2 linked regions of the Neodiprion lecontei genome follow. The protein of the gene in region 1 interacts with the protein of each later gene in a pairwise test. Links are inferred from orthologs where the notes say so. Each region holds a gene or a part of one and is shown in the gene's direction. Other genes may lie near its edges.

What was found. The genes of interacting proteins can lie anywhere in the genome.
Region 2: the proteins of BTB/POZ domain-containing protein KCTD9 (region 1) and protein N-terminal glutamine amidohydrolase interact in binary tests that used the Homo sapiens proteins (3 or more experiments, as listed by UniProt). The link is inferred for Neodiprion lecontei from reciprocal best matches to the Homo sapiens genes KCTD9 and NTAQ1.

The regions. Positions count from the first base shown.
Region 1 is NC_060262.1:3,816,957-3,820,712, reverse strand, and holds the start of BTB/POZ domain-containing protein KCTD9, read left to right. Parts: upstream 1-971; 5' UTR 972-1,007; coding exon 1,008-1,040; intron 1,041-1,395; coding exon of another isoform or gene 1,396-1,436; exon of another isoform or gene 1,437-1,854; intron 1,855-2,898; exon of another isoform or gene 2,899-3,115; coding exon 3,116-3,223; intron 3,224-3,467; coding exon 3,468-3,589; intron 3,590-3,706; coding exon 3,707-3,756. Other genes in the region: telomere length regulation protein TEL2 homolog, read right to left, coding at 1,396-1,436. UniProt on the Homo sapiens protein: Substrate-specific adapter of a BCR (BTB-CUL3-RBX1) E3 ubiquitin-protein ligase complex, which mediates the ubiquitination of target proteins, leading to their degradation by the proteasome.
Region 2 is NC_060262.1:1,654,864-1,658,619, forward strand, and holds the start of protein N-terminal glutamine amidohydrolase, read left to right. Parts: upstream 1-1,380; 5' UTR 1,381-1,689; coding exon 1,690-1,781; intron 1,782-2,457; coding exon 2,458-2,611; intron 2,612-2,774; coding exon 2,775-3,045; intron 3,046-3,129; coding exon 3,130-3,290; 3' UTR 3,291-3,756. Other genes in the region: isochorismatase domain-containing protein 1, read right to left, coding at 1-61, 188-373, 523-666, 871-999. UniProt on the Homo sapiens protein: Mediates the side-chain deamidation of N-terminal glutamine residues to glutamate, an important step in N-end rule pathway of protein degradation.

The DNA.
Region 1 (3,756 bases):
GAAAAATGTGTTACTCCTTTTGGTGTGAAAGAAGTAGAATTAATTTTAGCAGCTTCCATAAGTCTTGAAAATTTTGAAAATCGTTTTATATCTCTTATTGATAGTGAACACCTGTTGATTCATTATACAACAATTTCAATCCCTACAGTGATTATCGTCACATTATGAAATACTACCAAATACAGTTCATTTACGTAATGGAACAACTTTCACTTTATCCTTCATTTTCGTACCATTGCCATTCGCAAATCTATATCATATCAGTGCGAAATTTATTATCTTTCAATGCCGGTGAGTGGAACTAAATTAATTTTAACGATAATTGTTAATTAGTCTCTAATCTGTGACACGGACATTTGTCACATCGAATATGTTGCAACAGAGTTGCGTGACAGTCACAAAAACATTTTTCTTATTTTCATGACTAAAGATGCAGCTTTTCCATTACCAGCCTCACGGAATAAAGAAAGTTGACAGTTTTAGCATTGTTTAGGTTTGTAGTTAAAATTTGTGACTAAGTAGATGCCAAATGGATGAACAACAATAATTAAATATCTTTTCATCGGGAATTAAACTAATTTAGTTATGACCGCAGGTAAAGTGCAGATTGTCTCTTTTTACTGTTTTTTCAGGCCATGCTTGATAAATTAATCTATATCCATAAGCTCGTACGGACGACATAACAATAAAGTTATCAGTATTTACTCAACATTACGTAAGCTGCCTTGCCTCACGTTGTCTCTTGCTGATATATACAACCGTACAACAAAGTTACGTACGTATATATGCATAGGTACAATATGCGCCGGTGGATGCACACAGTGACCTTGAGTCTGACTCGCGGATGAGGAAGCATGACAGTGTGCAACGATTAAGTAACCGTCACTTGACTATCGTCCTAATTCTAAACATCTGTAGAACTCTGAATAAATGAAAAGTTTGCATCGCTGCAGAAGAGTCGATGGTAATTGAATTGTAGTGAAAATTTAGAGGGGATTATCGTAATCATGGTTGATCGAATTGTCACATATTTTATTCAAGTAAGATAGGAATCTGCGATTCACGATTTTGCAGAATCCTCGATTTTTCGCAATTCATGAATATTGTGTTATCATTGTAATTGTAGGATAGCAGGTGTTTTGTTTTTCTCGTTCAATATGTAGTAGCAACAGCAAAACTGATTCGGTAGTGATAAATTGTCAGATTTTAATAGAGTTTCAAGTACAGGTTGGGCGAAAGTACGAGAGGTGCGAATAAGTGAGAGGAAAATGTGTGATAAAATTGGAGTAAAAAAAGGTGCGGGGAGAAAAAAAAGGAAAATGAAAAGGTGGAATATCAGGTTATGTTGAATCCGCACGGTGAAAACGAACGATCGGTACAATTTAATCTACTCACGCTTTATCCATAAGCTCACGCATTTTCCACATGTTCATCATCTTGACGTTTTTTCGTTTGTACAATTTTCTTTGTTACCGTTATTCCAGCGGGCTAATTAAATATCCAGATGTTTTATCTCGCTCATTTGAGCCGTGTCGTTGATTAATCGGCACTCGTTTCCAATGATAGAAACGTCAGCAGACAACCGCCATCTTTGTCGTGTGTACAACACGTCTGCCAGACTTCGACTCGACAATTTAGACGGAAAACGTCTGGCGCGAAATTTAATTTATCGATAAATCAAACCACCGATGAATTTTTTTTCAAATTTTAACCACTTGTTAATTCGGAAAAAAAATCCACGCAACGCGGACGCCGATATATCGTCCCTCTTTCACACTGTCAAATTATCCACACATTTGGCGAATTCGCTCGTAGCGCGAAGGCAGATCGATCTGGCGGTAACTTTTTGAACTTTTTGACACCCACACGCCTTTTGCTTCGTATCTGTGCGTATGTTCCAACTACTCATTGAGTAACCGCGGTAAATACGTGTCTTATTGTACGTAACGTGTAGTACGAATCAGTCAATGACTTTTCTTTCAATGATTAGTTTTTTTTAAGTAGTTCTGAAATCATCCGCTAGGTAGTCCACCATTACTATCTGAGACTTATTTGTCGAGTTGTTGTCTTTGCTAATTTGTTTTTATATTATATTTTGTTGAACGTGGAATGTTTTCTAATTGCTTGTACGACCTTTAACTTTTGTTGTTGCACGTTTTGAAGTATCATATAATGATGTCGATGTATGCCTGAGTGTTTTCGTAATATAATGAAATACAAATACAAGTTAATTTTCTGTCTCACGGTACGGTTGACGAGAATATGGAAAATTGCGATAAATATCAAATGTTATCTACGAATTTCGATGGAAAATTGGAGGGTAATAAGTTGAGATATAATAGGTGTATTTTGGAAATTTGTTCGACTCATTTCTCAACTTTATGAAATTTTTTAAACTTGCGCTGATCTCGGTTACAAAATGTCTGTTATAAACCTAAAGTTTAAAAAAATTCATCGTTCCTGATATTCTCTAACAACGTCATTTTGCTAGAATTTTGTACGTACGCGATAGCTTATGTTATTAAATAAATAAAACCACCCCCGCCAGATTTATTCACCCAAGTTTCAAATAAGCTCTGCTCTATTTATGGCGCGAAACTTTTGAATTTCCTCTTCGTTTATTTTGTATTTGAAAATTGATACCCTGTCAATTTCAGAAGATTAGATGCGTATAGTACAGAATTTGCTATGCAGTCGTGCACCCATCGTGCACTTCATAAGCGAAAAATAAAAGGACTCTACACGCCCTAGTCACGCAGTTTTGACCGCCATTTTATTTCTGTGGAACAAATGACGTCATAGAATTCAAATTGAAACTTCGTTGCAATGGATTTAACGTTCTTTATTTTGAAATATCATCTTCCGCAATCGTGGTGAATCTTGAATTGACATCAACAGGGAGGACAAAAACCGGATGCAGTGAGGCGTGCATCCGTTCTATTCATCGTCGAAACGAACGTTGGGAGGTGGCGTGGCTTGTCATGCACCTGCCACCTTACGGGCTGGGATGACTGCTGGTCAAATATGGCTCCACGTTGAACGCCAATGCAGGGTTCTGTTCCGACGAGTGAATAAACATCACACAAGTATAATTCCGTGTTAACTCGTTATTCAGTTTCAACCAGAAACCAGAAAGTACACTCGACCGCATGCCAGTCAATCCAAATTGTCAGCCATGAAGAGAGTTGTTCTTTTTATCAACGGGACGGATGTCAACGGCAAGGTAAAGTACTCTGTTTGATCATGCAAGTAGTCATTTTATTGTTTCCATCAAGTATAAATCCAACCTATGATTAACGTGAAGTTGTTCGAGAGTATCATGATTTACGTGCATCTTTAAAGCGGCGTTATCACTGATATTTGACTAACGTAGTGTTCAGGCGCAACTCGCTTCGCGCCTAATTTGGTTTGATTTGAATTTACCGATTGATAATATTTCATAGTTTCGTGTGATTTATTGTTTGTAGGTATTTATGGTGACGCACTCTATCGACGAGCTTCTATGTGCAGCTAGTTTGAAGTTTGAAATATCCGCTAAAAGGCTGTTCACACCGCACGGCGGAGAAATTGACGATTTGAAGCTCATCAGGTGAGCTGTACGAAGCGTTACTTTATTTGATTCGAATCGCAGAGAAAAAATTCCAAAGATGTAAATTGAAATACAGAGATTTCGATTGTTGATAAATTTTTTATCCATACCGACCAGGGATGACGATGTTTTGTACGTATCAAGTGGTGAAGATTTTATTACGAAAA
Region 2 (3,756 bases), about 2.2 Mb from region 1:
CCAATAGTTTGAAGAGTACGCTTTCGGAAGTTGCTATCTGACACCCGACTTGCCTCATTCTCTGTAAGGAATTGAAACAGCGTAAATCACTAGAGTATTCGCAATTACAAATATTATTCACTATTTACACCAAATTTTCGGTGTGGTTTGAATAAGTTATGTCCTATGCGTCAAGCACTTTCATTACCTCGATCGCAAGCAATCTGTCCTCTTGCGTGCGAGACGAGCAGCAATCGGCCACCGCATGGACCTGGAACCCATTGGCGGTAAGATCCAGTGCAGTTTGCTCGACGCAAACATGTGCCTCGATCCCAATGAGAACTACCGACTCTGGAGGACCACCTGAGCAGAGCGTAGAAAGTTCTTTGCGCACCTGAATTCAGACAACATGCTACCGTGTGATTCGTCGCTATTTTACTGACTAAGATTTTAACTTCCAAAGAGAACGGGAACAGGATTAAAGAGAATTCTTTATCATAATATCAAGTTTTAGGAGAACTGGATAAACGAGATTCTCCTTACTTCTTCAGTGTACATGCTGAACTTGGTCTTTGCGAACGGTCCTTTTGCACCTGTTATATCCAGTTCCGAAACTGTGTTTCCTAAAGCCTTAGGATTCTGCTCGGTAACAATGATCGGTACATCCAACAAGCGCATGCCGTTCACCTGGGAGATGAGAATGATACGATAATTTCAGATCGCTAATGATTTGATGATAGAAAGAAAAACGAAATTAATGTTAGTATCGTTATTGTAACTAAGCATTGGGGAAAAATTACTAGTTTTCTAATTTTACAATGATTTTTTAAGGAACTAAGATGATGTTACTAGCTTCAATATGATTTAAAAAAAAATTAAATCTCGAATTACCAGCTTCGCAGAGTTAGCGACGATCTTATCGAACTCGAATATAGCCTTGGCGAATTTCACCTGCATATCGCAAACAAATAAAGCCGTTTTCCCGTGGCGAAGGATCGCCTTCGTAGCGCTCAGAGCCATGATCCAAACTGTGATATCTGCTCGACGATACTTTAACCCGCAATTACGACGAATCGAAAAGAGTTGGGTACAGAGCTGCAAATTTCATGGGTAGTAGTATCAGTTTCGGGTTTAATCCTCTTTGAGCGTTCCCTCTGGCCCAGGCCCTTCTATCTAATCTTCTTTGGGGTTTAGCCGAGTCGGATTAGGTTAGGTTAGGTCAGGCTATCAGCCAATAAAGAAGCGGATCTGTTCGCATCGAGTTGAGAGATGGCGCTACCGGCGGGAAATCCGCATGACAAAAGAAGGTCGCAATAAAAAAATCAGAACTGCGGCCTGCGCAGTAAAGCGAATGTGCGAATACCGATGCAGAGAGATACATAAAAAGCCTTCCCGAAATCCCCACTCAACAGGCAAATCATAGCTGCCGAGCTCTCGCCACTCCGTTTTTCGCTTGCAGACGACGCAAGAACCGCTTATTACCGGTGAATAAAAAGCGTTACGAAGAGCGAAAACTCCCGATAAAATAAGCGTGACGATAGTAATTTTGCGTAAATTGGGGTGAATGAAAAGTGTCATGAAGTGTGAGAGTATCACGCGGCGATAACGCGGTGAAATATCACCAGAATAGCAGACAAGCGCGAATAACAATTGAACATTAAATCGAAGGTAGAACCAATATCGGCTGATCGAGTGTAAACAGACTCGAGGATGGCTGCGGAATCGCGTGGTGCTGGAAACACGAAGCCTCTTGTCCCGCTATTCACCAAAGCCTCGGACTGCGTCCACACGAGTTGCTACTGGTGAGTTTCCGCCGAATTCGATACCCTCCTTGCTCATTTTATCGTTCATTTTCTTTTCACTGACCAGTGTCGTACTGCGGCACAGGTATCGGGGATCGATATCGCGGATTGTGGGATTCTTGCGGTCGTGCCCTGCCAGGATACGACGCCATTTTTAAAGAGACTTGCCACCGACCAATCGCGTTCGCTTCTTTATCTCGCGCCAAAATTCCGAGCCCGTCATTGGACGCCCGGCCTGTTTCAAGCGACGTGTTATTGTTATTAGCCCGCGAACCCAACAACGACCCGATTTGTATTAATGCGGGAGAGTTACGCGGGTTTATCGGCGTTAATAATTCACCCCGCGATAACAGGCACGGACACGACACCAGCCGCGCACGCGATGTACATACTTTGCATGTTTTTGCAGTTTTTATCCCACTTTTTATATCTAAATCATCCCTCGAATCGCGCCGAGTTTATCCAACGTAGCGACCTTTGTTGTGTACACCGTTATTACGCTCACGCTTTTTCGCTTTAATCACTTCTAAACTGTATAAATTATTCAATCAAAACACTTCGGGCACCTCGTCGAGGTCCGCTCGTGTTTCAACTTCTATCTCTCTCTCTCTCTCTCGCCTTCTATTTCCCATCTCACTTTTATTTACACCGAGATGAACTCTTTTCCATATTTCAGCGAAGAAAACGTATGGAAGCTATGCCAGGACGTCGCCACTAGGCACGGCCCTGAATTGCAACACTGCTACGTCGCTTTCATCAGCAATCCTGGAAGAAGCGTTCCTCTCTGGCGTCAGAAGGCTGGCAAGGATGAGGATCAGCTTGTCCTTTGGGTCAGTATTGTCGTCTTGATGGATGGTTGGCTAAATTTTCAAATCTTGTGTCAGGTCTCTAGACTGTGAAAACCGATCGACTGGTTCCTGCCCATACTGGAATTTTTCAACCACTCATAGCAAGACATCGTTTTACACCACTTTATTTCTTTTCACTCTACAGGACTATCACGCAATATTAATCTACGCACCTGACGACAGAGCGGTGGTCTACGATCTAGACAGCGCTCTTCCATTTCCGACTCATTTCTGGAAATACGCAACGGAAACGTTCAGGTCCGACGAAGCTTTGCGCTCCGAGTACCACAGGAGATTCAGACTAGTCCCTGCTGCGACGTACCTGCAGCATTTCGCCTCCAACAGGCAGCACATGAAACGAGAAGACGGCACATGGATCAAAACCCCTCCTGAATATCCTCCGATCTCTACTCCAAGTAAGTTTTCAGACTGATCAGAATTTGTGGCCTTGGAATCGACAGATTTTGAACTTTACATACTCACTCAACTTCGTTTCTCAGCCTGCAAGGATAATCTGGACACTTTCATAAACATGGAACCGGGAACGGGTCTCGGAAGTATCCTAAGTCTGAAGCAGCTGGTAAATAGATTTTACAGACCCAGTGTTCCGACCACTTCTCCGCCGCAGCAGCAGCAGCAGACTCACACAACGCCGACTTAAGCGGAACGTTTTAATTGTCGGCAAGGCGTTTTGCCGTCGCGCGTTGATATCTGAAATGAAGAAACGATTAATTGGGTCTAAAAAACGTCCCTGGTTCAGGTGAAATTTCTCAACAGTCGAGTGAAAAATGTGCAGTCTGATAGCGTTTACCAAAGTTTGACGTCAGGTTCGATAAAAGGGGATAAAAAGCTGGGGAGTTTAAACATTTCATTAATACAAAGTATATTTCTAAAATCAATTCCACGCCTTAAACGAGCCTTTTTTTTAGCAATGTATGCATGATGCTTTTTGCTGTTAACGTTGTCGATGAAGTAGACAGTGTTTTGCTTAAATTGCGTTAGTTCAATTCTATGAACGATTTATGCAATTAATCATTGCGCAATATATGTTTAGAGAGATTACAGATTTTTTACTGTCAATATATACACATTTAGTGTGCTTTTAAACGAGACTCTAATTTCTTCAG